Schizosaccharomyces pombe: one gene and its partners. The protein of the gene in region 1 binds, or shares a complex with, the protein of each later gene. Each region holds a gene or a part of one and is shown on either strand. Other genes may lie near its edges. The genes, in order: srb7, pmc4, med20 and med14.

The links.
Region 2: srb7 (region 1) and pmc4 share a complex: the UniProt entries of both Schizosaccharomyces pombe proteins name them as parts of the mediator complex.
Region 3: srb7 (region 1) and med20 share a complex: the UniProt entries of both Schizosaccharomyces pombe proteins name them as parts of the mediator complex.
Region 4: srb7 (region 1) and med14 share a complex: the UniProt entries of both Schizosaccharomyces pombe proteins name them as parts of the mediator complex.

The regions. Positions count from the first base shown.
Region 1 is NC_003423.3:3,912,370-3,918,029, forward strand, and holds srb7 (mediator complex subunit Med21), read right to left. Parts: upstream 1,270-5,660; 5' UTR 1,244-1,269; coding exon 1,202-1,243; intron 1,161-1,201; coding exon 1,067-1,160; exon of another isoform or gene 1,014-1,066; coding exon 984-1,013; exon of another isoform or gene 936-983; intron 932-935; coding exon 681-931; 3' UTR 501-680; downstream 1-500. Other genes in the region: atp17 (F0-ATPase subunit F), read right to left, coding at 1-34, 87-140; exoribonuclease Rex4, read left to right, coding at 2,327-2,359, 2,434-3,183; importin alpha family nuclear import signal receptor adaptor Imp1, read left to right, coding at 4,257-5,660. UniProt on the Schizosaccharomyces pombe protein: Component of the Mediator complex, a coactivator involved in the regulated transcription of nearly all RNA polymerase II-dependent genes.
Region 2 is NC_003423.3:3,514,043-3,522,123, reverse strand, and holds pmc4 (mediator complex subunit Med4), read right to left. Parts: upstream 4,664-8,081; 5' UTR 4,636-4,663; coding exon 3,916-4,635; 3' UTR 3,659-3,915; coding exon of another isoform or gene 3,370-3,658; 3' UTR 3,328-3,369; coding exon of another isoform or gene 3,076-3,327; 3' UTR 3,035-3,075; downstream 1-3,034. Other genes in the region: EMP70 family endosomal transport protein Emp70, read right to left, coding at 1-1,416, 1,565-1,763; TREX/TREX2 complex subunit Pci2, read left to right, coding at 2,120-2,251, 2,318-2,475, 2,523-3,020, 3,076-3,327, 3,370-3,658; cell wall glucan 1,6-beta-glucosidase Exg1, read right to left, coding at 5,763-6,986. UniProt on the Schizosaccharomyces pombe protein: Component of the Mediator complex, a coactivator involved in the regulated transcription of nearly all RNA polymerase II-dependent genes.
Region 3 is NC_003424.3:2,346,258-2,353,864, forward strand, and holds med20 (mediator complex subunit Med20), read left to right. Parts: upstream 1-3,935; 5' UTR 3,936-4,069; coding exon 4,070-4,083; intron 4,084-4,125; coding exon 4,126-4,214; intron 4,215-4,283; coding exon 4,284-4,762; 3' UTR 4,763-4,987; downstream 4,988-7,607. Other genes in the region: negative cofactor 2 complex subunit Bur6, read right to left, coding at 175-774; CENP-W family protein Wip1, read left to right, coding at 1,751-1,831, 1,952-2,065, 2,168-2,194; ARP2/3 actin-organizing complex subunit Arc5, read right to left, coding at 2,295-2,357, 2,448-2,624, 2,751-2,823, 2,868-3,013; ilv3 (dihydroxy-acid dehydratase), read right to left, coding at 5,114-6,910. UniProt on the Schizosaccharomyces pombe protein: Component of the Mediator complex, a coactivator involved in the regulated transcription of nearly all RNA polymerase II-dependent genes.
Region 4 is NC_003423.3:1,992,239-2,001,945, forward strand, and holds med14 (mediator complex subunit Med14), read right to left. Parts: upstream 6,856-9,707; 5' UTR 6,691-6,855; coding exon 4,051-6,690; 3' UTR 3,768-4,050; downstream 1-3,767. Other genes in the region: chaperonin-containing T-complex gamma subunit Cct3, read right to left, coding at 1-18, 89-162, 201-225; SPOM_SPBC1A4.11C (uncharacterized protein), read right to left, coding at 1,038-1,412; pus7 (pseudouridine synthase), read left to right, coding at 1,689-3,731; V-ATPase assembly factor Pkr1, read left to right, coding at 7,660-7,847, 7,928-8,138; sdh7 (ACN9 family protein), read right to left, coding at 8,074-8,121, 8,237-8,536; anaphase-promoting complex cullin family subunit Apc2, read left to right, coding at 8,897-9,707. UniProt on the Schizosaccharomyces pombe protein: Component of the Mediator complex, a coactivator involved in the regulated transcription of nearly all RNA polymerase II-dependent genes.

The DNA of each region.
Region 1 (5,660 bases):
CCATCCTAGCAGAGCTAGGAAAAGCATTCAAAGCCTATCTTAGTTAGATTTTCGTTTATATTTATCACTTTTTTAATTAATCTTACTGTAGGATTCGCTACTTGAGGGGGAATAAACGATTTCAAAGGAAATGGAGCCATGATTACAATTAAGTTAAAGTGAATATGGTGATGTTCAATTCCCGTCGTATATAGCAAAGGAACTTGCAATGAATGGTTAATGGATTTTTTTTTTCTTAAACAAAAATAGCGTATTGTTTTGTAAATTTCGTTAAACGTTCTAAAAAATCAGGGATTTTTTTCTTTCTTCTATAAGAAACTATCCTTGCTAATTTGCTATTTTTTTACTTTTCAAATTCTGTTTGTTATTAGTTTATTTTTTAAGACTTCATAGCTGCTTTCACAATTAGTTACTTCAGTCAAGTACTCGTCAGCATGAAGTAAAGGCATTCTAAAAACTACAAGTAGATAGATATTTATGTAAATCGATTCAAAAAGATTAGCTCGTTAATAAAAATGGAATCATTTGTCAAAACAGTATATCTAAGGCTGCCCGTATGATAAGCCCACTTCCAGCGATCACATCTTCTTTCTTAGCTCAGACAAAGATATTTTAAAACTTCAATAAATCTGGCAACTAGAAGAGTATGCTAGTATGCATATTTTGCTTACATATTATCATCAGGGCTGAAATAGGACACATGATAACCGGCCAAATGTTTCAATCCTCTTGGCCAATTGTAATTTTAAATCTTCATTTTCTGATTCTAAACTCTTCCTCTCCAATTGTTTTTCTTCAATGGAGTTTTGTAACTTTTTAATTTTCTCTAATTGATGTTTTGGTGCAGTGGAAATACCTGGAAGTTGGTTGATCAAAGTGTCTATTTGCATAAATTTTGTAACCAAGTCTTTTGCTAGATCCCTTTGAGCGACTACAAAAAGAAGTTAGCACATAAAATGACTAGAGGACGTCTAATATCGTACATTGTAACTCTTCAGCAGAAATTGGGTTCACTAATAATTTGTTAGTAGCTACTTTGAATAGCATCATAATGAATCTTGTATACCTTTAGAATCAGAAACCTTTTCTTGACCAGGTAAAGGAACGAAATCATGATGAGAACTTAAATAATGAATGGAAGAGTAAAATTGTGTGGCAACCTACATAGGTTAGAATAGAAAAAGAAAACTAGTCCCATTACCTCATCAATTGTATCTTGAAGCTGAGTACACCTACATGCCATTTTTTTATGTAGGTGTAATATGAGTTAAAAAGAGTTGAAAGTCGCAAGTTGTTGAAGGTCCATGATGCAGGTAACAATTGTTGAAGCGCAAATGTCAAGAACAATAAATCGCTAATTAACTTTTCTGTTATTTCAGCATCGGATATTTATTATGCACAGCTTTTGATTTTATGACATTGTTTGTAATTGTAATGTATCGACCTAAAAACCGACTGTCTAGCAATCGGGAAAAAGAATTAAGCTAGAATCACGCTTGACATAAGCAAAAGAAATTTAACATAAAACAGTACATAAAATTTAAAAAAAAATTAATGGAAAGCGAAAAAAAATAAACTACAGAAACTACAGAATCAGCTAAGTATTTTTAATTAACATAGAAAAACAATGATAATAGTAATACATTCGACATATTTATTATATTTTTGATCGTGGAAGGGTGTCCGAGTGGTTATGGAGCTAGTTTAAGGCACTAGTGCGAAAGCTCGTGGGTTCGAGTCCCACCCCTTTCAGTACCTTTTTGATAATCCATTCATTCTGAGTGTTTTCATATTACGTGAAGGTGCATTGTTATTAAAATTGCAGTACTCTGCTTTTAAAAAGATAGCGGACAATGCTACAAATTCAATACAATCTATCCTTTTAAGCAAACATAAATCACTAAATGTTTAACGAATATGCTACTACGGGTCTTGAATATTCACAATATTCTTTTATTAGGAAATGCATTAACCACCGGTACCTTATAATATTCTTACGAAGTGGGTACACACTGAAATAGCTCATTGGTGACCCGAAGAACGGAGGTTAATTTATTTCATAGTCTCGTATATTTGGCAGTAGTTACATCAAGAAGCAACAAATGGTGCATCACTGTCAATATATGTATATATACTATAGATAAATAAATACAAGGCATGTGACTTATATAATGATACTTAACGTAACGTACTATCATCAACGCTTTATTCAAAATAATGAAATGTGCTAAAATGTGATAAAATATTTGTGATACCGCGTTGAGAATCATATTGAAAGAGGTTGCAAATTGCTTCTTGCACCAACTTTGGCTCTTATGCACAAGCAATGTCTTCTTCCAATTGGGAAAAGTTAAAGAAGGTATGAAAGGCTATAGTTTCCATTAAGTCATTTAAGATTCTTGTTTAAGTATACTAACGGTATTGGTTGTTTAGAAACTCGACAGCGCTAAGAGTGGACGGGTTGAAAAAAAGCATTCTAATGAAAAGAAATACCTTAAAAGTGTGAAAGGTAAAAACAATGAGAATGAGAATTCTTATATCGTCGATAAAAAACGCATGAATGAATTAAAGAAATTTGCTAAGGAAAATGATATCCCTGAATCTCAAGTCCTTGACGCATATGGCGTGGATGCTTCCAAGCTTACCAGAAAAACCAATTTGGAAACATTGGGGAAATATATTGCAATGGATTGTGAAATGGTTGGGGTGGCAGATGACATGTCAGTTCTTGCACGCGTCAGTATAGTTAATTATCATGGTCATGTCGTGTATGATACTTATGTCCGTCCTAAAGAAAAGGTTACGGATTGGAGAACATGGGTCAGTGGTGTCAAGTCATTTCACATGCGGGATGCACCTTCATTTGAAAAAGTACAAGCAGAAGTTGCTAAGATACTCGACAATCGAGTATTGGTTGGACATGCTGTCCATAACGATCTCAAAGTACTACTTTTATCGCATCCAAGAAGAATGATTCGTGATACCAGCAGATTTTCTGGGTATCGGAAATTAGCCAAGGGAAGGACACCAGGGCTTAAAAAACTTGCTGAAGTGATTCTTGGGCGTGACATTCAATCTGGACAGCATTCTTCCGTCCAGGATGCCCAAGCAACGATGGAATTATATAAGAAAGTAAAAAAAGAAATGGATGAAGTTGCATTCAAAGGTTTGTCAAAGTCATAAGCTTTGAATCACTAGACTTCGTTCTGGTCATTTGGGATTTGGGTTTAATAATATGCAAGAAAATGTTTCTTATAATTTTACTGGATATGTGTCAGATGTTAAATATATTTTCGGTTGCTTATAACAGCAATATTGTTTTCATTGGCTCTTATGAAATCGTTGGTTTTCTTTCTTTATTTATCTCTTCTGTTTCCTTCGTTTCTGGTTTTAAATAGTCAATCTATTAATAATTTTTAGTATAAATAAATGATGCATACAACTGAAGGAAAGAAATAATGTATGGAAAAAACAAGGATATAGAGATTTATCAGCTTCGTTTATATGGTCTTCATAATTACTTTGTGAATTAATAAAGTTAATGTTATATAATTAGATTACTTCCTATAGTGTATATGATTTAGAGCATTTTAACTGAATGACGATAATATGTTTTCAAGCGCCGTTAAGTTAATTCCTAAATTTATATAAATACCGAATTAATCTTTATTATCACAAAAAAAATAAAAAATATATATATTAATAATAGCTACCAAATAAATTCTAGTTAGACAATGGACCATTAATGTATACATATTAATAGCTTACAAAACAGATACGGAAGTGTTTGAAAAATAAGTATTTATTCAAAGATTAAATTGCTCAACTATATGTATTATATAATCAAAATAAAAATAAAAATAGGCCAACTTGACAGGTTGTTTAAAGAAAAATTCCATTTGTTTTTAAATTTTGAATTCTTGTTATAGCATTCAGCTTGTTAAAAACCCAAGAAAAATTGGTTGATGAGCTCAATAAGCATGTTGTTTTACCCGTTTTATGGTGCGAAGGTTTCCAATGACAGAACAAAAATGATCTAGAAAGTTTCAACGATTTGAACCGGAAAATGATATATTTCAAATTATTCTAAATTTATTATTTTTGAACATTGTTACCTGGGTGCCGGCTGCTTCTTGGAACGACACAAGTGCTCTTTTACCTCCTTATTCTCATTAAACTCGCAGCAACCACAACTGTCTTAGATAACTAAAAAAAAAAGAGTAAAAAGGATATCAAAAAAGTTTATTCCTATAGAAATGGAATCGAGATATTTATCAGATAGAAGAAGCCGTTTTAAAAGCAAAGGTGTTTTCAAAGCTGATGAACTTCGTCGGCAACGTGAAGAACAGCAAATTGAAATCCGCAAACAAAAACGTGAGGAAAGTTTGAATAAACGAAGGAATTTAAACGCTGTTTTACAAAATGACATTGATGTGGAAGAGGAGGCTGATCAGTCTCAGGTTCAAATGGAGCAACAAATGAAAGATGAATTTCCTAAATTGACAGCTGATGTGATGTCAGACGACATTGAGCTACAATTAGGTGCCGTCACGAAATTCAGGAAATATCTTTCTAAGGAGACGCATCCCCCTATTGATCAGGTAATTGCTTGTGGTGTTGTTGACCGGTTCGTACAATTTTTAGAAAGTGAACATCACTTGCTTCAATTTGAAGCGGCTTGGGCCTTAACAAATATCGCTAGTGGTACCACAGATCAAACCCGTATTGTTGTTGATTCCGGCGCTGTTCCTCGTTTTATTCAATTACTTTCTTCACCTGAAAAAGATGTCCGTGAGCAGGTTGTATGGGCCCTCGGTAACATAGCTGGCGATTCTTCTGCCTGCCGTGACTATGTACTCGGTAACGGAGTTTTACAGCCTTTACTTAATATTCTTCAGAGTAGCGCTTCTGATGTTTCTATGCTCCGTAACGCTACATGGACACTTTCTAACTTGTGTAGAGGCAAAAATCCACCACCTAACTGGTCAACTATTTCTGTAGCCGTTCCAATCCTTGCTAAGCTCCTTTATTCTGAAGACGTTGAGATTATTGTTGACGCGTGCTGGGCCATCTCCTATCTTTCTGATGGACCTAACGAAAAAATTGGCGCCATTTTAGACGTTGGATGTGCGCCCAGGCTTGTTGAACTTTTGAGCTCTCCCAGCGTTAATATTCAAACTCCTGCCCTTCGCTCTGTGGGGAATATAGTAACAGGTACTGACGCGCAAACACAGATCATAATCGATTGCGGTGCTCTCAATGCATTCCCTAGTCTTCTCAGTCATCAAAAAGAGAACATTCGTAAGGAAGCTTGTTGGACTATTAGCAATATTACTGCTGGCAATACCCAACAAATCCAAGCAATTATTGAAAGTAATCTTATACCTCCATTGGTCCATTTACTCTCATATGCCGACTACAAAACAAAAAAAGAAGCCTGTTGGGCTATTTCTAATGCTACTTCTGGCGGTCTCGGTCAGCCTGACCAAATTCGTTACCTTGTGTCACAAGGCGTTATTAAGCCACTTTGCGATATGTTGAACGGATCCGATAATAAAATTATTCAAGTTGCTCTCGATGCCATTGAAAACATACTTAAAGTTGGTGAGATGGACAGAACTATGGATCTTGAAAACATTAATCAATACGCTGTCTACGTT
Region 2 (8,081 bases), 400 kb from region 1:
AAACCATGATACAAGTGGTTACTAAAATACCGAAGCAAAAGAACGAGAAACCGAACATGAAATACAATGGGTGAAACCATAAACTGTCAAGGATAGAAAACAATTCAATAAGGATTACGAGGAATGGTATAGATCCACCGATAATCGCACTAGGAAAACTCGAAAGCCAAATACTATGAGATGGAATTTGACGAGGGATTTGGTTTGTCCTAACAGGTGGGACGAACTCTCGAGAACGAAAGCCGATTAAAGAACCGACAAAGCTTAATGGTACAGTAAACAATAGATACAGGAAAATGAGTAGAAGCCAGCTTGAAAAGGGTACAGTTGATGATGAACTTTTACTCCAAAATACCATGTTAAAGAAAAGAGCTGCCGCAAGCATAAAACCAGGTACGACAAAAGGAGTTAACAGAAGATTTCGCTTTCTAAGCATACCTTGCATCAGTTTGTAGGATAATGCAGATACATAACCAGAAACGAAACCTGATATAATGAATAAGGCCACCGTTGCTGTAGCTAAACTTCCACGACGAGAGGGTGCAACAATGCCAAAAATTGCAAATAAAACGATACCAGAGCTCATAAAAAGAAGTTGTGCACCAGTCCCTAAAAGGATAGAAAATAGCATGGGTCTACGAGGTGGACGAAATACATCACCATGAACTAGCTTCCAACCAAAATCTTCTTGAACATCTTCTTGATCGACAAAGGCGCTATTATATTTATTAATGTCACGATTTAGCGTTCTGTACAAAATAATAGAAACCACAAAAATTAGAAATGTGTCAATAATTGCGGAATGGATAATAAAGATCCATCGAATTTGCCTAGATTCAATGTGCATATATTTGTCCCATCGGGTAGCCCATGGAGTATCGGAATATTTCCAAGAGACTGAGTAAGAGGTCACGAGAGTAAGATCAGCTCCTTCCGGTAAATACTGTGGATTTGAAGACGAAGAACAAACTGGGTTTCCATCAACTAAAGTAGACTCCTTTGAGACAGGTTTTACATAAGCACCCACAACACGGTGTTGGTCACTAGATGTCGTATGATATTCTATAACTATATCATAATGATTGAATAGAATTACTCCCTTCTCCGTATTCTTGCCTAATGGAAAGCCTGGCGATAATGAGTAGTTCTTTGAGTTAGTCCCTTCTAAATATGTTGCTACGGGCAGATTATCTATGTTCCAGTTAACAACGTAGTTTTTGGAGATTAAATCTCTAATAAAACTGACATCTGAACTGGGAATTATCGAGGCACACAAGGGAACACAATCCTGGTTTTCAAGCATTTTTATTTCAATGGGAGAGTTGTAGAGACGGTCGCCAAAAAGCACACTTCCAAGTGACTCAGATTGTTTTGCGATATTCTCTGGTCGACAGAAGTGGAAACGCTCATCGTAGTCTAAAGTGAAGTTAGTAACAAGCAAAAAAGTTCGAGAGAAAATGTTATATCCTTCATTAAATCATATTTCTATAGTGTTTTCCTAATTTAAAATTGTAAAGTTTTTAAAAAAACACATGAACCTTCATGTGAGCTATCAACCACGTACATTCATAATTAAAGATGTCAGAACCCCGTCCATCTCCAATAAATGGTGAAATGGTATTGACAGTTGTATCAATTGAAGCACCGGGAGGATAGTTTTTCGGACTTAAGGGAGTTAATTGAAAACTAAAACAGGTTTGGAGAAGAACGGAAACGAAAACAACAAAGCTAAATGAACACGAGGGAATACTAGGTAAAAGCATATTTTACTATTTCCCTAATTCTTGGCAAAGACTCGAAACAGAATCTTTTCAAACCGAGATGATTAAGACTAAATCAATATAAAGTGCTACGGTTTTGGGGATTGATGCTGGTAGCATTTAATTTGAGGAATGCTGCTGTACTCTTAGTATGTCTCTTTATTGTGCTATTAACAATCCTCGTATACCGGTTTACGACCTGCTAACTTTCGTTATTCGTATATGAGGTTCAGAACGTGAGAGTTGGAGAACATCGATGTAAGCGAAAACATATCTGTTGAGTTTTCTTGTTATAACTTATTTATCGTTACATAATAATTGAAAGTTTAGTACTAAAAGTTGCGAAGGAACAGGTTGGAATGTCCTTAAATGACTTTCTGCAAACTTTGAGTAACGCTGTTGGAGAGAAAAACTCCAATACGTTGGAGAAATGTATTATTTTAGATCCATCAGAGCCCTCGTTTCAACAGCTCAGTAAAACTCTTTTTTTGGTATGTCGCAGGCTTGCACTACAAGTAATTGTCTTCAGGTTATAACATTAACTAACCGTGATAAAGGATAGAAAGGGGAAAAATAAGTTAAACGGAACCATTCAAAAAGAATTTGGAAGAATAAGAGGTTGGAAGGAATTGGTAACTACCTATTTTGAGTACGTTGAAAATGCTGCATCTTCTCCTGATCAACGAAAATGGGAATTGTTACAAAACTTGTATAGGTAATTAAAAACTTTTTGTTTATTATTTCTCACTTTTGTTTTTCTAGTAACTTGACAACTTGCTTCTCCCATATCGATGGAGCATGGTTGTGTACAATTGTAAAACGCGTTTCAAAGCTTTATGTAAAGCTCTCCCTTCAGCTAGATACATCTACACCTACTTTAGAAGATTCTTTTGATGGTAATGGGTTCATACAGAGGAAATACGTGAGCGATGCATCTAGGAACGTCTTACGAACGTTCAATAGTATACTGAGTGATCGTCAACAAAACATTAACCCTTCGAAGAAGGATGCGATATTCTGTATTGCCAATTTACTTTGTTTACTATATTTTCGCTTAAAGCAAATTCGTCTTTGCCAAACTATTCAAGCTAATGTCATCTCTTCGGGTGCCGATATTTCTCGCGCTACAATGGCGGAATTAGTAACGTTTCGTTATTATTTAGGAAGGTGTCATCTTTATCAACGCAAAATTCATCAGGCAAAGGACCATCTACTTTTTTCGTTTCTTCAGTGCCCTGATGAGTGTTATCATCAAAAAAGGTATGTTTTATTTTACTCAAAAATAGGATTCGTTTATATTTACTAATCAAAAAAGGCTTTCTCTAATCTATCTTACAACGTGTTTACTTATATTAGGAAAATCGCCAACAAAAGGGCTATTAGAAAAATACAAATTGACTGCAGCATTCGAACCTTTAATAAAAGCTTTGAAAAGTGGTGATATCAAGTCGTTCAGATTATCTTTGGAGGACAATTCCAGGAGGAAATGGTTTATCAAACGAGGAATATATCTAACTTTATTGGATAGATGTGAAATCATCCTGTGGAGGAATTTATTTAGAAAGGTGTACGTTTGAGATTTTTTAAAATATTCGACTAATTTAAAAAGGTTTCTTTTTACTTTTGAGCAAAGCCAAAAAACCCCGCACGTATCTGGTTCTTACTTGTTAACCGCGGCCCGTTTAAGTACAAATGATAACTCATATGACATGGACGATGTCGAATGTATCTGTGTTTCTCTAATTGACCAAGGATATATTAAAGGTTATATCATTCATGCATCATCAACTTTAGTCCTTAAAAAAGACCCATCGTTCGGTTTTTCTGTAATAGAGAGCCTTATGCCCATAGCAAGGAATGATCACGCAGAAAAGGAATTTTTTCATGCTAACGCATAATTAAATGAACTCAGAAAACGTAGATTGTTCGAAAATTATACTTAAAATTAATTAAATTTGAATTGACAAATGTTAAGCAAGGAACAGTGTTCAATCATCTTGCTTTGCGAAGTCTGAAAGCTAAATAAATACAGTCTAAACGGCAAAGCGTAATTTTATTCATTTTTAAAACAAAAGGGTATTTGGTCAAAGCAAAAAACTCTATAATTAGAAAAGTAAAATACCAGATATCACTTGACAAATAACACAATTTAGAATCAAAAATCTTCTTCCATTTCTGGATCAAAAAGATCAAATCCTGCAAAGACATCCTTATTAGCTGGCGATTCTACTTCTTTATTTTCCTCTTGCGTAGTGAATGTTGGAGAGGCAGGATAATTCATTTTAGTTTTTTCTTCAACGGCTTTGTTCGCATCAATTTCTGTTTCTGTTTCCGTTGGCTCGTTCGTCTTTGGAGGCTGTTCAGAAAATAATTGGGACGCTGTAGCCGATAAATTTGGAACCATGCTAGTTGAAAACTGAAACAACAGAGTTTTTCGCATCTGGTCCTCCGATGGCCAAGGATAATGCACAGGAGCTTTTGCATCTTGACCCGTCTCGGGATTGTACCCAGGAGGTGCAGAGGAAAACTTGGAAAGTTTTCTACCATAATCAAGGAGTGTTTCAGCATTAACTTTTTGTCGTTTTCTCCCCGACACTGTTTTTGGAAGATGGGTATCATAAATTGAGGTCATTTCTCTCATGCAGTCTTGAATTTGTAAATCCAGTTCCTTATCCTGCTTCAGCAAAGAACTAATTTCATTTTGTAATTCTCTACCATTTGTGTAATTTGATATTAAAGAGTGTAAGGTTTTCAAGTGGCCTACTAATGAGGTCCAGTTTTCTATTAGTACATATTGGTCAACCTTTTCGGATGACAGTCTTAACTGTTTATTGAGACATTCTTCAATAGAATCAATGGCTCTTTGATATTCCATTGGGGAGCATATGTGATTACTATATACTAACTACTCAACAATTGCTCGATCATCTAGTAGGTCAGGTTACAGTTATTTTGCAGACTCGACTTTTTACTCCTTAAACATCCGTAACCGTTAGTTAAACAGACATCCTTAAAAGGTTTAATGTGCTAAAACACGGTAAATTACAGTAATGTCCTCCTCCACAAGGGCAATAAGTAGCAGCTGGTATATACGCTCGACGAACAATACTTAAGTTACTCTCGATTAAATAGAATTAGTCAATTTAATTCTGTATATGATTTTAATTGTTTAAATTGTCTAACAAATTTCACTAATTTGGGCAAGAAGAAAGCTATTATTCGTATAAATTAGTCGACAAACTACGTTACATTTACAGTGTAACAATTTTGATCTTGTTAGGGACAACATAATGAATACATACTAGTGAATTAGATATCTCATTAAATTAAAAAAGCGAGTTCGTTAAAGAATGCTTAATGAGCTTATTTCGTTTAATGCGTATAAAGCCTATATCAGATCAGAAAATGTGTAATATTACTTTACCAAGAAATCGCTCAATTTAAATGTAATTTTTATAAAAGTATTTTAAACATATGTCACCTGTGGCTGAGTGAAAACCTATTCTGTCGATTTGCTTTTCCGAGACTAACTCAAAGTGGTCCGTCTATGTGGCTCAATACTGACTTATAAGAGTAGAGCAGAAAATACATTTCATATAAGTAAACTGAAGATACTTGATAATTGAAAATTCAATTGGACAACTTTAAAAAGATTTCTCGGTCAACTTTCTCCAAAGTACAGCTACTGTTAATATAGAGTTCGAAAAAATATGCAATATTGAACGTAAACTATTAAGCTAAATATTAATTTAGTAGGAACTTGCTACCAAAATATTAATATCACATAACTAAAAGATTTCGAAAACAACAATATATATTAAAAACTAATGTCTAAAGATAATGCCAAACAAACAAAGACTGAATGGATAGTAGATAGCAGCACGTTAAATGATAGTAGATGATAAATGCAAGGACAGGACATGACAACGATGTGTGAGATATAAATTAGTGTTATACAGCTAGAATAGATAAAATTTTTTTTTAACTTTGATATGGCTTTGCTTAACCGCAGTAAGAGCTATATTGTCTATCAGTGAAAGGTTGAGGGAATACGCCGTATTCAATAAGTAATCCCATATCCCAAGTAGGACTTGGTCCACCAGTTTTAGCAGTCCAGTAAATCCAACCAGCACCGCGTTCAAATTGATCTAACTGAGTTTCGATAAACAGACGAACAGCTCCCTTATATTCATCCGTCCAAGTGGAAATATCACCGCTGTTTGGTCCAATAAATGTCGAAGAGTCAACTCCTTCTTCGAAAATCGTGCAGTCTGCTAAAGTTCCGGACCATTCGCCAGTAACAGTAATGTAGGGAGAGGAAGCAATGGAATCACCAATGGAGCAAACATCTGAAAGATGATCATCGAGAGTCTTTGAGCACTCATCCGACTCGTAAAGTTGATAACGATGGACATCCATAACAAGATTGTATGAAGAAGGAGATACAACACCATAATCCCAAATAGAAAGATCAACATAGGCATCGTGAATGATAGTAGCAACAGAGCTGGAAAGAGGATTGACGATATTATAGGCATCTAAATCGTATTGCTTAAGTTGATCCATATCCAGACCATAGCCCAAAGGCTCATTTACCGTCTCAATTCCAATAACCACGCTGGCATATTGAGATTGGGTATACTTATTAGCAACATAGGTAATAATGTCAAGAGTACGAGTTACAGTGTCATTTTGCTGCCATCCAATGGAACCAGTCTTACCAGAGTTTTCAAATCCATTTTGGCTGCCTGGAACACCATGCAAGTCAATCCAAACCTTAAGGCCATATTGTTCAGCCCAAGTAAGAGCTTGATCGAGCCAGTACTCTTGCCCTTGAACATATGGTTCGCCGTCTACCACATTAAAGGCCCAATACCCAATAGGAATACGCAAAACATTAACACCCCAAGAAGCTATAGTAGCGAAATCAGATTCAGTGTAGAATGAGCTATAATGAGCAGCTAATTGAGAGGCAGCTTCATCTGCACCAAGAACCTCACAAAAGCCCCATTCATCAGTGGGAGGATTCGACATACTGCTAAATTGAGTAAACAATTGTGGAGTGATCCAATTTTCCAGCACCAACCAGCCACCAATGTTTACACCACGGACTTTTTCCGAGGTATAGTCAAAAACGGGGTTATTTCGCTTGATTACATAGGAAAATGCTGTCTTGAGAAGCAATGCATGCAAGAAAAAAGAAAAAACCGATGTAAAAGAGAGCATTTTAATGATATTATAAAGAGATAGAATATAGATATAAAGAACGAATAAGAGAACGAAAAACTGTTAAGAAACCAGTTTAGTTCAATTCAAAAGCACGTCTCAAATTCTAAGAGAAAAGCAAGTGAGTGTGTATATATTTATGTGTTCTTCAAAGCAGAAGAGAGAATAGGTATAAAGAAAAGGGGTATATATATGAGCACCTTTATGGACCGCGCAATGTAAGAACAAAGGAAGTACAAAAACAGTTCCACACAAAATAGCAATGTACAATTGGACAGAGTGATTGGCCGATTCAAAAAAAAGAAGTTCCTTTTAAAAAGGATATCGATACAGACAGCAAAAAAAAAAAAAGGAAGAAAAACTGAAACTCACGATAACAATGTTAACGAAGAAAACAGATAATCGGGCTGTATGTAAAGGAAAGTGTGTAAAATAGAAAATGCAAGCGACTTCTAAAAATAAAAAGAAAGAAAAAGGTAAAGAAAGAAAAGAAAGGATATCTAAATTAGAGCTTTCGTCTTTGAATTAAACAATGGAACAAAGGAACTGGGCATGAGTATCTTTTATACCAATTTCTCAACTCACGGAGCGCTCTAGAGTATGCTACGATAAAGAAAATTTGACAACCAATCACTACCAAGTAAACAATGATCGACAAATATGGACACTTTTTGACTCCTTAATTGGCTAACCTAATGGCTGGTTTTATTGTTTACTGCTTGGATTTGCGTACTGTTTTGTTTACATTTAGGTAGCGGTTACCAGGTAGATTGGACGAGAGGTAGCAATCGACCGTTTATTGTGGCTTACCGCGTCGTTATACCGTAAACAACGCGCTGGATTCATTGTAAATAGCAACGAAGCGCTGTAAAAAGCCGACAAAACATTAGCATTTGTACACGCTCTCTACCTTCACGCCTTTGCTGCCAGGGTGCGTTTGAGACAGTTAGTTGCTAAGTAAAAAAATGCCAATTCGGCTGGATTGAACTCTAAATATTATTTATTTATTTATTTAATTCATATTGTTTCGGTAATGAATTTGGTAATGTTTACATGATTCTTCTCAACTCAATGTCGGAAACCAACATGTGACTT
Region 3 (7,607 bases), on another chromosome or scaffold:
TAAAAATACTAGAATTAATGTGCCAATTTTATAGTCCTATGTACAAGTAGCTTGAGAATATTTTCTGAAAACAAATTCAAGAAAAAAGGGAAGATAAGAATAAATGTAATAGCAAAACAAGAATAAAGTATACAAAGACATTATATTTATGGTCATATAGGGTGGAGAAAGTAGCTACTCATCACCAGACGCGGAAGAGGCTTCACTAGTTGTCTTGTCAGAAAAATTACCATGATCAACAGAGGCTTTCTCCTCGTGATCTGCTTCAGTTTCCTCACCAGTAGGTTCTTCTTTGACAGGAGTTTCTGTGGTAGCTGATTCGTCATCTTTTTCAATTTCCTCTTCTTTAACAGTATTCTTTTTAACTTTTTTAGCGGGAACACTTTCATTATGCTCACCTTCATTAGCTGCTCGACGAGCACGGGGGCGTTTTGTCTTTCTTTCGGCTTTAATGGGCGGAGCATCCGGTACTTTTTCAACAATGTCTTGAAGAAAATCAAACTGTTCAACACTTTGAACAGCATGCTTTAAATGAGAAACGGTAACACGCTTTGCTTGGTGCAATCGCGTCTGTTTGCACGATTCTTGAATTATACTCTGCATGAACAATTCCAACGCTTTCGACATAATAACCGGAGTAACTTGAGCGACCTTTCCAACGTCCTGGTCTGCTTGCATAATCTTTTTTATACGAGCAACAGGAAATCTGCTTTTCCAGTACGTAGCAGGATTTGGTTTAGTTTCACTATCATTATTATTTGTTGGATCACCCATTATAAGAAGCAGAATTAACAAGATAATTCGATATTAAAGTCAATAGTAAGTTGGCGTGTAAATGATTGTTTCGGAAATGAATCGCTTGAAGGAGCTGGTAAGTAAGGTAGTAACGAAAACGTATATTACTACCTCTATTGAGACTGTCTGTCAAGTTTTTAAAAAAATTTTTTTTCTAATTTGTCGAATTTGAGAAGTTAAAGTAAAAATCTTCTAGTGCCTAACAGCGGATCTTAGTATTCTTTATAACAAGGTAGTGGTGAAGGACTCGTTTAAAAGCAGAATTTTATGTAGGTCGCGGAAAGCAATAATTCGGAATCACAAGCGACTAACTTCCAGGAAATATAGCAAAGAAACTCGGTAAATATTAATTTGGTTTTCTTTTAGTCGCCATACTTGCCAAGTATTTTGCTCAATATTCCAAATGAAGGCAATTTAGAGGTTCATAATATGCATACAATCACAGTTTAAATAAGAATAAAATAACAGATTCAGATATACGTGTGTAATCAGAGCAAGCAAAACAAACCAGCAACCAAATTTTTAAATACTAGTAAAAAGTTTTTCTTTTCTTAAAGTAGTAGCGAGTAAATACATGCTTACAAATGAACTCAAAGTATTTAAAAGCTTTCATGCTTAAGATTGCTGCTAATTGATATAATATTCCAACTTGTTTTGACAACAAAGACACATAATTTGCAATGTCAGTGCTTTAATCTTTGTACGTAATAATTACTTTTACTAAGAAAATTTCAATTAATAATATGACATTAAATTTATAAAAAATTGATTTGCAATAGCACCTTTGTAGAATCCTTCGAACTAATGACTCAAAAGGACTCGCACTTTACCTTCTTCGAAGACGACACAACGATTATCACTTTCTATACAGAGCTATCCTTGCAAGATATGATTACTCTCTAATTTTACAAAACTAAACGGGATTAATATTTTTTTTTGCAAGAAACTACTTACTATGAGCTATCCTAAAGCACGCATAAGACGATTTTTTCGTCAGCATTGCCAGCGCAGCCTTGAAAGTTCCGCATTGGATTTGGTATGGAAAGTTATAAATGAAACTAGCTATTTCTCAGTCAGTATCTTTTTGGACGCGCTATTCTAATAAAGATATTCAAATTTTTTATATTGAATGTTTTCAACTAACAGAATTTTCAAGGTATATTTGGATTACTGTCTTTTCTTACAATCCTTACTAAAAGAAGCCAATATTGAAGCGGCTAAGACTGGGGAAAGAAGAGTACAGCCAGAACATGTTCGAAGTATTCAAAGAGTAAGCTAATATTGAATAAACTAGATTTATTATCTTTTCAGCAAAGGCGTAAATCGATTGCACTTTATTTTTTAAAATGGAACATACTTACTAACCATTTAGAAAATTCTAGCTCAATTTAAAGGATAAAAAGAGTCATTATGTGGGAAAGAAGACATAAAACAGAATCATTGATTCAGTTCCATAAGCGACAGAATAGTAGATACCAAAAAGTAAGATAAAGCCATATTTATAGATCGGGTCTACTATTGAGAACACGAACTATACATCCTATACCGGATATTTCCACCACCTACAAAACCGTATTAGTGACCGAATAAAAATGTAAAGCATGAGATAAGCAATGCTAGAGCGTTGGGAAAAGCAATAAACTAAAAGTTACCTTTTCGTGCCAATTAAGTAATACAGACGAGTTGTAGGCTTGAGGATTCGCCAATCCACGATAAATGAAGTTTACAATATTATCAATTTCCTCCGTTGAACATTCTTTTACAAATGCGGGAATGTCAGCAGCTCGTATATTGCTTAATACATCAACAAAAGCATTCAAATATTGAGTCTAAAAAAGTTAAAATTCATTTACACCATAATAAAATGAAATCAAGAAGAATTGTAAATTTAATCAATAAATAAAAACGTAATTGATATAAACCGTCTTTAAGCAGTTTGTACAGTTTGCACATACCCTAACTTCTTGAACATCATTTCCATAAGGAACATATGAGAGTAAGGTTTTCAAACCTTGTAAGGCATTTCCTCTATTTTAATTAATAAAAAAATTGCTTCTTTTAAATAAACATACGTTTGAATGGCAGACCGGGCTTGAGGAATGAGTTGAGAGACGGCTGCTTGGACTTGCTCCGCCGTTTCGTTACGAATTGGAAATATATCTTGCTCTGTTAAAACAGGTTCTGTGATGGAGTCGACATCCAAAGTCCGAAACGTCATTTTATAACTCTATAACTGGTAAGGTAAAGAAAACGATGGAACAGGTTAAGTTTCAGCTGTGTGTAGCTCTAAAGAGGCATCATACAACGGTCGAACGCAAGTCTGTAACTGAAGTTATTATAATTCATAGAGTATATTAATTTAACCAATAAGTTAAGAAAATTCAAAAAAATATATTTATATTTTTTTAATCTTATAACTTTAACTTATAATTTTTGAGCGGAGCTATATAAGTCTGGTAACAGCATTACTAACTTCTTCAGTACTCCATAGACCTCTTTTGTGGATGTTTATTTTTTTTTATTTGTAAATAATCATCTCTACCTTTGGTCTTAGATGTAAAGTTCTGAATAACTTGTAGACAGAAATTGGTTACATATTTTACATTTCTGCCTATGGTGATTCAGAAGAAAATATGTTAGATACAGCCTAGTAATTAGTTGAATAAAGATTAAAAGTAATTTTTTTTTTGCTTCTATCTATTTTCAGTATGTATATTGATGTATGAGTTTATACTTCTATTCGAACAATAACTTTTAAGACTTATTTTGCTGACAGAACTATGTAGTTTCTTGTGTAAAGTTCAAAGTAAAACGAAGAGACACATATGTAACATCCTGGGATTAACAGATTTTTAATTAGTGCTCAAACCAGCCAGTTACATTGTTACGTAGTATTTGACTCTCCAGAAGTTAATTATGAATGTAATTCAGTTAACTTAATTCTCTTCAAGCTTTTAACAATTTGCTCTGGGATTATCATACCCAAAAGCCATATACTTTGCGACTTGGAAAATAATAAAAATGACAAGAGATAAATTAATAAAATTTGAGCTCATATTATGTCTATCTGCTTTTTTTTTTTAATACAGGAACAATGAAAATGAAGGTTTTAAATTAGCCTGTTAGCAATTCTTGCAACCGCCGTACGCATTAAACTCTTCACATCAACATTACAGTAGAAGTAAAAGAACTAATTCGGCCATTTTTCTCAATAATTCGGTATAAACCGATATTCAGATGCATAATTAATTACCATTCATCTTTGTTATAAAATATGCCTGTTCACGGGTAAAAAGCATACCGATTGACTATTTTGCTGATTGATTATAGAGTTATTTATTATTCATCGCCTTCAATGGCGACGTTCCTTTCTCCAGCACAGGATAATCTGGTTAGGACCTACTTTGCACAACATTTAAGTAAGCTGACACTGGTTTGGATTTTATTTCTTATGATTGATGATTTCAAGATCTAACTTTGAATTTCAGAAAAATGGGTAGTTCAGTATAAACTTTACAGAAATGCTGTCACTCCAAAAACTTTAGAATTTTTGAAGCAAAACATTAATCCCAGCATGCTGGCGTGTGTGGATGAAGCGACAATGATTGATGCAGAACCTGAACTTGAGGACATCATTGTGCGAACGAAATTATGGAATTTTCGGCAGTCCTTTACTATTGAAGGTTCAATATATGAAGTAGGGAGCTTTAAAGTGGCTATTGCCAACGTTTTACAAAAGTCCGTTTGGAAGGGTATACTTTTTCATGTAACTTACGATGGTACTGAGTCCGTCGATCTCGCACGCCCTATTATTCAAGAATTCTTTCTTAAATGCTTTTTACAAAATAATAAATCGGTAACCCCTGTCTATGAAAGCTTCTTTAACCAGCCTCGTCATTCTTTGGATTCAAAACTTCTACTACAGTTGTTTAAACAACGCATTGATACCGTTTCACAACGCACATAGAATAAAAAAGTATCAATTTAAATTTTTTCTGTAAATAAATTTCTATCTAACTAACTGTCAAAGTCTTGCTTTATTGTCAGCAGAAAGTTATGGCTCCCTTTCACATTTACAGATACCAATTATGTTTAATAATAAAATAGAAATGCAGGAGTTTGAATAACAACCCATTTTAAACTCGATGCATTTCACTGTACTCCAAAAAGTAATTATTCATTCAAAATTATTCAAATAAACTCTAGATGAGATTATGGAATCAGCATTAAAAGCTTATTAATCAACCTTTACTACCAAAACATTAAACGTCTAAGTTTCCAAAATACTATGCGCGCTTATAAAAGCATTGAATATGCTTTACTCTAAGGAATCTGTAACAGCACCCTTGGAGGCAGTGCTAACGTTGCGAGCATATTTTAAAAGGGTTCCTTGTTGGTACTTCAAAGGAGGTGCCTTCCAAACACTGCGGCGTCTCGCCATCTCCTTCTCATCAACCATCAAATCTAAAGTGTTCTTTACAGCATTGATTTCAATGACATCGCCGTCCTGAACAAGAGCAATAGGGCCTCCAACTTGTGCTTCGGGATCAACGTGTCCAATCAAAAATCCGTGAGAGCCACCACTGAAACGACCGTCAGTCAAAAGTGCAACATCCTTTCCAAGACCAGCTCCCATAATAGCACTTGAAGGCTTTAACATTTCCGGCATACCAGGTCCACCTTTTGGTCCCTCAAAACGAATAATGACGACAGTCTTCTCGCCCTTCTTGAACTCACCACGCTCTAAGGCAGCAATAAAATCGTTTTCGGCATCAAAAACACGAGCTTTGCCGGTGAAGTTCAAGCCCTCTTTGCCAGTAATCTTTGCGACAGAACCTTCAGGGGCTAAAGAACCACGGAGGACACGTAAATGACCCTCGGTCTTGATGGGGTTGCTCAAAGGTCTAATGATCTTTTGACCTTCGGCAAGGTCCTTGAATCCTCGTAGGTTCTCAGCGAGAGTTTTACCAGTAACGGTAATATTAGAACCATCGATGAGACCTTCAGCATGGAGATATTTAAGTACTGAAGGAATACCTCCGATAGCGAACAAATCTTCCATAACGTACTTCCCGCTAGGCTTCATATCGGCAATAAACGGTGTACGGTTACTGACGGCTTGGAAATCATCCAAAGTTAAAGTGATACCAACAGACTTAGCAATTGCGATCAAATGAAGAACAGAGTTGGTAGAGCCACCAAGAGTCATCGTCAAGACCATAGCATTTTCAAAAGCAGAACGTGTCATGATGTCGCGAGGTTTAATGTCGTCAACCAAAAGTCGCTTTATAGCACTACCTGCAGCTTCGCATTCTGCAAACTTCTCAGGTGAGCCAGCAAGGTAAGAAGAAGAACCGGGTAATGTCATACCCATAGCTTCGGCACAGCTAGCCATTGTATTTGCAGTATACATACCACCACAAGCACCACCTCCAGGACATGCATGACGAATAATGTCATGACGGGTTGGCTCATCAATTTTTCCTGTGATAAATTCACCATAGGATTGAAAAGCAGAAACAATATCGATGGGTGCATTGTTCTGACAAGGAGAGTGACCAGCACGAATACTACCGCCGTAAACCATAATACTAGGGCGGTTGAATCTTCCCATAGCGATTAAACAACCAGGCATGTTTTTGTCACAGCCAGGAATAGAGACGTTGGCATCATACCATTGACCTTGCATGACGGTCTCAATGGAGTCTGCAATAATCTCACGAGATTGCAAACTATAACGCATACCAGTAGTACCCATAGAAATACCATCACTAACACCAATAGTATTAAACTGGAATCCGGTCAATCCAGCCTTTTTGACACCTTCTTTCACTCGTCGACCGAGATCAAGTAAATGCATATTGCAAGGATTTCCTTCATACCAACAACTAGCAATGCCGACTTGGGGTTTTTTCATGTCCTCCTCATTAAGTCCAGTAGCATATAACATAGCTTGGGAAGCACCCTGAGACTTCGGACCAGTGATTGTTTCACTATACTTGTTCAATTTCTTCTCGACTAAATTGATCGAAGAGGTTTTAAAGCCTTTTAGGCTTAATGCAGCTCTTTTGCTAGCAATACCGTTTTGACAACGGAGAAGCTTGCAGAACATCATCTTCTAAAAAAAAAATTTCGCTTTGTTTAGACTATAGAAAATTTTCTACTAAGGGTCAACTCCAGGATTTCTTCAAATTCCCCTTTTATAAATAATAATAAACAAAGGAAAATATGAAAGAACAAACTTATAACAAACTTGGTGTTAGATTTAAATGGAATATCTGCTGGTGACTTAACTTATTCACCCTTGGTTAGTGGTCCTGGTAAAGTATGCTAAACCGGAGATGCGAAATATAAAACACGGTTTATATCTCGGTAAATCAAACGAATCAAGAGAAAGCCCAATCATTTCCTAAATAAATCAATATAAAAGTGACATGATTGGATATATGGTATGACACATAAAAATCTATGAATGTACAGATCATGGTGATCGTACATAGCAAAAACGTTGTTTTAACTAAGAGGCGAATTTTCAGTAAGAAAAAAGCATGACTAGTATTTTTGTCGCTTCATATTTCACTTTTGATTGACATAGAGATGCTAAGAAGCTTTGATCTTGCGATTATGAAACTAAAAATTACAAATTTTCACATCACCGTAGATTGATTTTAAGATTTTTCTAATTTATTTGATTTCTAGCAATTAATGATACGAAATGTTTTATTACATTTGAAAAAATAGTCCTTTGACATGGCTACCTACATTAAACCATCCAACCTACCCATTGAAAAGTAGATGGTTGATTTTTTCAT
Region 4 (9,707 bases), 1.9 Mb from region 1:
TAAACATGTTCGAATAACCTATAATGTCAGCAACGTAATATATAACAAACCTCAGTTTAAAGCTTAAGAGGATGGAAAAAAACCGTACATCAGCGACAGCCTTCGCAGCTTGTATATTTGACATCTGGGCCTTGTGGCCAACCTGTCGGTTGCCATTTGTATCTTTGGTTAATTAAATTAATACCAGAAATGCAACTTACTCATAACAAACACAGGAGACTGCATGTTGGTGAAAGACAACTTCAAATTGGTAAAGGTCGTTTGTTCCTTAAAGCGAAGTATTCAAAACCCTGATAAGGATACGTTAAAATTCGCAATAATAGCAAACCGATACGCAAATTTTGTTTTGCAAATGTTATTGTATATAAAAATCAAAAAGATAACGAGATTGACCAACACAGAAGCGTTTTTATTTACTTTGAGAAAATGATTAGTTTGCTATATTTCATATTAAAATAAATTGAGGTAAATTAATAATTGAAAAAAATTGTAAAATTTGATATTAAATAAAACAAATATGAAAATACATCTGCTCTCTCATTCCCAGAACTTCGAACAAGAGAAGCAGAAGTCAAAAGTGGTAGTAATTTCATGGATTAAAGTAAAAAAAAAAGGATGTGTACAACCTATCGAAATATATACCTATACTCACAATGTACACATGAAAAATAAACACAGATATCGAGAATTAGCTTATAGAAGATAATCAATTTTTATGCAAGGTCAGAAAACACCGTATTATTTCTAACAAATCGAAAGCAATAATGGTTCAATACGTTTATGTACCACTGTGGAGGAGTGTCAAAAAAAAATCAAACCTGTAGGGTAATTCAGAAGAAATGGTAAACGATAGATGAACCGTTCGAATATATACAACGGGAAGAAAACAAGCATATATACAATCATAGAAAAAGATTTGTTTTACATGAAATATTCTAACTTTTTATGTTAGTTTTTCGAAGAACCAAACAACCAGAAACATATACTCAATGTAGTCACGCTTACCAAAGCGCACAAGGATACAGCAAGTAAATAATTTAAGGCGTAAGATTGTCAATTTGTGAAATTGTGAGTTGAATATTTGAGCGGATTTTCTCCAATTCTTGAAGGGGCATCAGAGCACTAGGTTCAGGATCCATTTTTTCGCAAGATTCAAAAAGGCGTTTTGATTCACGATCTAGCGCAGATATCATAGTAGGTAATCGGGGAAGGACCTCTGAAACTTGATTGATTTGTTGGTTCAAAACTCTCAGAGAGTCATTAAGTGTTTTATCAAACTCAGACAAAAGGTGCTGGGACGTTTCGTACAATATAGAAGGGTCATTGCTCTCAGGAAGAAGCTGATTTAATTTATCAATTGGGCTCTTGAATTTCGAGGGACCAAATTCCCCAATCCAATCCTTCTCGGGCATTGATATTTGGCGTCTTTCTTCAAGTAGCCCTCGTCTGTTTTCCTTTTCTTAGTTCTTTCCGAGATCCTTCGTTTCGGTATACTAAATTATATATTATGGTCGAGAGTGGTATAATTTTAATGAATGTCATACGCACCTCGTAATAATGTACTATTGAGCATTGTCGATCCACCTTATAACTAGATGCAGAAAGTGTGCTTAACATGGCTTTATGAATACTAACGCGGTAGCTAATCCCATTCAAGTGGTTTTGAAATTTGTATATTCGCTTTAGCAATGTCCCAAGAAAACCATGTGGATGTCCCTAGGAAAAGGATTCGGATTGACCAATCTGAGTCTTCAAGGAATTTGGAAAGAAATGGATTAGAAGATGAAGCCAACGCTCCTTCAGATTTGAGCGGTCAGAAGTTTTATATGACCGAGTCAGATGTAGGAATTGATGCGTTTTTGAATCCAAATCTTCCTTCAATCGATGGAATTATTAAAGCAAGATTCACGGATTTTGCTGTTTTTGAAGTTGATACAGATGGAAATATAGTTCACTTAACTGATATGGAAGCTCACGATCCTATCCTTTCGAAGGCAACCGGAGACAAGGAAACTGAAGACGCAAAAGATTCTTCTAATCAAGATATAAGTAATGACCAGAAAGCTCCTTCTTTTAAGGAACAAGAACCTGCTACACTGCCTATATTGCCGAATGACCTCCAAAGTATCATACCTAAGGGAATTGGTAATGAATTTATTCAATCTCTTCATAAGCTATCAGTTGGTGAAATAACTGATCCCATCTCATTAATTCTTCCCGAAAATACTCCTCCTATGGATAAAGGTCAGCGAACGATCTTACATCAATTCATACGAAACAACTTTTCTGGACTCGAGTCTTCTACAAAAGGGAATGGAACTTTTACAGTGTCAAAGACCACCAGAAAAAACCAGCCTAGATCACGAAGAGATCCCCGATTAAGTTGGAAGGCTTTGGGTGGTGAATATTGCCATTTCCATTTGTATAAGGAGAACAGAGATTCTATGGACTGTCTTGGTAAAATTGCCCGCCTCCTCAAAGTCCCCACTAGGACTTTATCAATTGCTGGAACCAAAGATAGAAGAGGCGTAACCTGTCAACGCGTAGCTATTCATCATGTTAGAGCATCTCGACTCGCACAATTAAACTCTGGTTCTCTTAAAAATTCCACATATGGTTTTCTTTTGGGAAATTATTCTTATAAAAATTCAAATTTAAGATTGGGAGACTTGAAGGGAAACGAATTTCACATTGTAGTGCGTAATGTTATTACGCCTAAAGAGAAGGTTGTTGAAGCATTGAATTCTTTAAAAGAGCACGGGTTTATTAACTATTTTGGTTTACAAAGATTCGGTACCAGTTCTGTCGGGACACATACCATTGGAGTTCGTCTTTTACAATCAGACTGGAAAGGCGCTGTCGACCTAATTTTATCACCAAGGCCCGAGCATACCGGTTCTGTCAAAGAAGCAATTGATTTATGGCATTCCACTCATGATGCTGAAGCTTCTCTTCGCATTCTTCCTCGAAGGATGATAGCTGAATCCAGCATTTTGGAAACATGGTCTCGATCTGGTAATCAAACTGATTATTTAGGAGCGTTCCAGAGAATTCCCCGTCACTTGAGAAGTATTTACCCTCATGCATATCAATCTTACGTTTGGAACAGAGTTGCTTCTTGGCGGATAAAGAATTTGGGCGATCGTCCTGTTGTGGGAGATTTGGTTTACTCTACTGAGTCTAATGGTTTAAGTCAAAAAAGCCCTATTGTTGACCCAGAGGCACCTGATCTTCTAGAAGATTTACCTGTGAGCTCAAAATTATCAGCTCGTCCGATTGAAGAGGACGAAGTCAATAACTTTAGTATTTACGACATAGTACTTCCTTTACCTGGTCGTAATGTAATATACCCAAAAAATGAAACTTTCGATATATACAAGTCTGTCATGAATGAGGCATCACTTGATCCATTAAATATGTCTCGCAAAGACAGAGAACTTTCATTACCTGGTGATTATCGAAAACTTTTGGTGCGTCCTGAAAATATGGAGTTTAATTTCATAAAGTATGACAATATGGAACAACAACTGATTTTGACGGATAAGGATAGATTGGAGAACCGTTCTATTTCAGTGAGTTCTGAGGTTGGTAAGCACACCGCTGTTACGTTAAAATTTGTACTTCCATCTTCTGCTTACGCTACTATGGCTTTACGAGAAGCTTTAAGAACTGCAACTGCTAGTGGTGATCAACGTATGTTGATGCCAGCGGTACTTAAAGATTCAATATAAAATTTATTAGCTTAAAAGAACACAGCTTTGAATAAACTTGGGATTATGGCGATTATAATAGAAATTCATTTTACCTACGGAAGTTTTTTGCTTATTCATAAATGATTAAGCGTTAATTCGACGATCTCTAATTTACACGTTGGATTATATAAATCACATGTATCATCAATGTAACATTCACTTGTATACTTTAGAAAACGATTTTCATTTACCTCATTAACCAGACATTTTTTGCCGTATTTATATATACAATCACTAATCACTGCCACCGAAAGGAATGGACGGTGGAGGGGGTGAGGATTAAAAGCTTAATATGAGTTCATTTTTTTCGAGAGATCGCTAAAATTCTTTTTAGAATGGCTGTTAAATCAGCCGTTTTGTTCATCTTTATTAAGTGCATCTCGGGAGCGGCCTCAATCTGACCATTAAGCTCATCATCACCCAAGTCACCTTCCCAAACAGTATTAAGCCATGAACAAGGTTCCCATTGAGACGTCAAAGTCTGAGTTCCTTCCAAGTATCGGGAATCGGCAGATAAGTAGGATAAATCTTGGAGTATACATCCATGGCGATTTAAAAGAACTTGAATGCCATGATTTTTGGATAGGATAATTCTGTACTGACGCAGAGATCGAGCCAAAACAACGTAGCCCAATTCTTGAGCTACTAAAACACCTCTCGTTCTATCCATAATTACGCGTAATGGTTGAATAGCTGAGGGCCCATCAGAAAATGTATCCTGCAAAAACTGAGAAATTAGATGAAACGGACTATGTCGATTAAAAAAATGAAGGGTAAAAGTGTTGTCGTCATGAATTGTAGCCCTAAATTTCTCATCATCGAGATATGTAAAGTCCACATGCTTTAACGTGATACAATCTACATTGAATGCAGATGTTTTAGACAAAGCAACAAGTTTAAGTAATCCAATCCATGTTTTTTCGAAAGATGAAAAATTTTGCACACGAATGGTAATACGACCGGTTCTCCAATCTATGTAGCAGTTCTTTTCAGTTTCAGTCTCAGACTGATACGGCAATTTTCCTTTTATTCGGGAGTCAAAAATTAACTGCCCGTCATGCGCGCGAACGAAAACCACAGGAAGCATATCTTCATTAGACGATGGCATCATAATACATAAGCATCCTGTTTGGACGTATGTAGTAAAGTCATCTTCAATTAGGGCTTTTGGTGGAATAGGCAAATATTCAAAAGGCATACCACGAGCTTGGCAAGCAGTTTGAACATTGAATAAAAGTATTTGGACTTCCAATAGGTACGAAAGACGGCTAAAACTTTCAATACTTAAAGTACCTTTTGTAGTATGAACATCTTGGGTGTAGAGAGTTTGACCCGCAGCGTTCAACAATCTAACAGACCAAGAGTTGGATTCAACGTTGTACGCGAGTACCCATAGGGAATCGCCATCTTTTCTCCATTTACCTTTGGAGAATGTAAGATAAGGGAAAGAATAGTAACCTTGAACTGCATGCAACTCAGCACACTGGGCAACTTCTAATAGCTGCGTTTGTATACAAAAGAAATACAACCGATTCAAGATTTGGGCGGGAGGTTGCGTATTCAAAGCAATATTTTTTTCAGCAGCACGAAGATGCCTGGGAGGTGATAAAGGTGAAGCCGAACTCGACAGCACGAGCCTGCCGGTAACGCTGTTCACCTTGACAATTATTTCATTATCAAAGACATGAATTTTTAGACCACCACCAACATGTTCACTAAATATATTTGGGTGAAGCTCCTTACGGATTTGTTCCAGAATAAGTTGAGCGTGTTTTTGGGTAATTAATAATAGTAGATGCTGAGCATCCATATGATCATCTAATGGTACATGTTCAACAATGCCATCATGGTGCCATTCAACGAGTAATAAAAAATGATCATATTCACAACTGGATCTCTTAGAGCTAAGGGTACGCTCAAAGGCGGATATGGGTTGAGTATTTACAAATATATGAATATAATGACCAATTTTTCCGGGTTTTCCTTCTTTTTTCACATTTAATTGGGGCCAATAGTATAGACGTAGCCGTGGGGGCTTTTCATCATAGACACCGCGCAAATGCCCTAACCAACTTTCTCTGGATAGTTGAAAAGTTTGTTGTGACAATAAATTAAGGCGCTGATATAAACAAAATTTATGAAGGATATTATATATTAAAGGTAGGATGGGCTTTTGTAGAACGAATGCAGCAGCGATTTCTTCATTGAGATGCAATTCTATAAAAACCCGATATTTTGCGGGAGTAGAAGAAAAATCAGGAAGATGAAATTGAAAGTCAACAACAATCCACTGGAATGAAATACCGGTAGATTTAGGATCTTGGGAATTGGTTGTCAAAGACACTGAAAACTCATTGGGAACAGTAAATGTGCAACGACCATTAGCAATTGTGAAATGTTGAAATGGTGTCGGAATAATTTCATAAAGACTAAGACGAATTCTAATAAGCATGTTAAGAGCATGAAGGGTTTGAAGTATTTGTTTGGTACTTAGCGGTGATTCAGATAGCATGTATAATTTTGAAGTGGGAGCATTTGCTAGACGAAGACTCGTGCCAGTTGACAAAATATCTAATGCAGTAACTAAATCTGAGTTGCGTAGACGTGCAAATGACAACTGGTAACGAATATCTTGTAACACATGAACTAAATTCTGGAAGCAAAATTTTTGACCTTGAAGAAAGGCTACAACATCTATGCATCGATGAACTGAAGGAGATAGATGTACCCAACGCGCTAAAACTAGCAAACGCATAGTGAAAGCGCGCGAACGTAATAACCAATCTAAGATCTTTTTCTTTTTCTCGACATTTGACATAGAGGGTAGAACTTCGGCTAAAGACACCAATTCTTGTAACACATGATGACTAAAAGTTTCTACTATCTCAGGAAGAGGATAAAATCCTTCTGTAATGTGTGGAATCGCAGGCGGTTCCATCCTCAATTGGAGGAGTTAGGAATTTCGTGTAATAGCGCCTTTAATTAGCCGATCCTTTACCAAAACTAAATTTCGTAATAAACATAAGTTTTGTTCTTTTAAAAACCCTTAAAAAGGATTCTTTATATCTCTTTTACAGAAATCTTCGAGTAGCGTGCCAAAAGCAACTTCACACAGCTCCCGTGAAACTCTTCGATAACCTTCGTTACGCCATTCACTGAGATTGTTAAAACGCCTTAGGTTTATTCATTCAAAAAATTGGAATAATCAATAAATAAGCAATTTTAAATGGAATTAAATAATAATTGATCAATGATATTACTAAAATGGGAGATTTTGAATAAATTTGAGCTAGTATAAACATGCCCTGTTATGCGATAATCGCATAAAACATAGTTTGAAACTATGGATAATGAAGAATAACAAATGAGATGGAACCGTTCAAAAAGATTCTCGTAATTCTATAGTAGTTAAAAAGCCCCTTCTTTAAACTGAACGAAAATCATCATTAAAGCTGTTCAAACTTTGCTATCAATTTTAATCAGAGCTTCAGCGTGTCTCATTAAAATGATAATAAAACAGTAATTTAGAAGAGCTAAGCCGAAAAATAACATTTGTTTTGATCATTTAATTATTTTCTCCACGACCACAAGAAGCTGACAAAAAATTTTTAATATAGCAAAACAAAAGTAGAGCACTATTCCATTTGAATGATTCAAAGCTCTATTAACAATAAATTTGGACAAATGGAAGCATAACCTTCGGTTTTAATAGTAGTATAAGATATGGATTTCTTGAAATCCATTTTAACTTTTAATGAACTCCAACATCGGTCTCGTTGCTAAATTAATTCAATAGCACACGCACACTATAAAGGCCAGATTTTATCGCTAGAACACAAACGGTGGTTTAACAACGTCAATTCATAGCTACTACATTTCCAAGTAGTATTCCAATAAGAAAAAGATCATGTCGTATTGGGTGGAACTATGGGAATCAATTTTCACACCAGGTGTCACACCTGTATTGGCTAAGTCAGCACACGTAGCCTGTGGTGCACTTGTCGCTGTTTTTCTTGGACTTTATATAGGTACAAAAAGTATTCATTGTCTCATCTTATTTTTCCTGGCAATCTGTTTGTGGCTGTCGCTAACATGGTACGTTTATCCATGAGGAAGTTGAACATCTCGTTCACTTTTTTACGAGTAGTCCAGATCATTCATTAACAACTTTATAGGTTTTTGGTTGAGCTTGCACATGCTCGAGTTAATAACGATTTGCAGATGTCGTCTCAAAGTGCCAATAAAAATGACGACAACTCAAACAATCAAAATCCTTCTAATAACAAAGAGATGTCTGATAAAGAATCAGATTCCGCGACCACTACTCAGACTTTTTCTGTTCCTGAAGAGCTTTTGAGAGCTCGTACAACTGCCAATAATAGTTAGAAACTATAGGTCCAAAAAAAGAAGCAATAAGTTCAAGAGCACTGGTAAAAGTTCTCTTCTTTTAATAATAAACCTCAATCTAATATAAGTTTTCTTACCTGTCCGATTTGCTGGTCATTTAAAGATTCTAGTAGATCCGTATTACTGTATTTTTCCTGTTTCCAGCTCTCGTTTTCTAGTGCATCCGCATACCTCTCCCACGAGCTTAAAAATCCTACTAAATGCAAAGGATTTGTTACGTTCCGATGTCTTCGAAATTCCGCCTTTACATATTCATCTCCTAAAGCTCGTTCTTCTGCTCCTAGGTGATAGCGATGCGCTCTCAACACCCTTCGGTACAGAGGCAAAGGAGGTGTCAAAATATTCTTTTGTTTCATTAATTTCGTTATGTTATTCATTGGTATATGATTTTCTTTAGATACCGTCTTTTCAAAAATTGAATTCCTTTTAAGTTTCTTGTTGTGGTTGTGATGTGGAAGGCAGTTTGCTATTCATCGCATTCACACTAACAATTGCAAGGTCTTCTTCTACCAAATGTAAACAATACCACCAGAAGATATACTAGTAGGAAAAGTGAGTGTTCCTTCAATCATTTGTCTTGAAATCTTCAATTTTTAATTCCTTTTTCTTTTGAAAACATTACTTTGTGTTATCGGACTACGTAGAAAGGACTTGTCGATTTGGTATCGATTATTTGTAGTTGCTTGAATTCATTTATTTTAAGATTAAAGTATTTATCAGAAAAAATTAAAAGCATAATGAATGATACTGATCTGTCCACCTTTACTGGCCGTTCGTTGTTGATCGATCAATTGAGCTCAGTCACACAGGGAACACCAGTATTGGATTTTATTGACAAGTTGAGAATTCATTTCTATACCACTATTCGCCAAAATCTCTTAAAGATTGATTTAAAAAACATATGCAGTCTACACGACTTAACGGACCAACTAAGTGACTTTTGGCTTGTTTACGAACAGAGTGTCTTAGAAAGTCCTATTTTAAGTCCTGAACTCGACCGAATCCTTACATGCTTCCGTTGCCTTTGTAGAAGGTACTTGCCCATTTCGGTGATTGAAAGCGTTCTAACAGAATATCTGGATCAAGTTTTAAAAGTATGGTTAGAGAGTAAAACGAATCCTTGTTTGGATATGGAGAAATTTTTTCAATTGTGTGAAAAATTTAAGCAGCTGGGGCTGTCTTCTGTGTTAAAAGAAAGGTTTGTATATGTATTGCAGTTGCATGTCGGCTCTCTTTTAACAACACGGTATGCGATGTCTTGGGAGCAGAGTGTTTACCATGAAGCATTGGAGTGGATTCGCACCGAATTTGGGGTTCTTGTTGAACATGTATTTTCATTGTCGAATCCAGCGGTTTTGGTTCAGTTAGACCATCTTGTTTCTCAAATACTTGCTCATTTGCGATCAGACAACATTCTTGATATTGTTCTTCATTACCCCAATTCACTAGGCGCAATTGAAGACTTGCGTTTAGTTGCCCGTCAAAAACAGCAACGTCAATATTTAACCGAAACTTTTGTGAAAGATTGTACAAGTAGTATTTTGACCG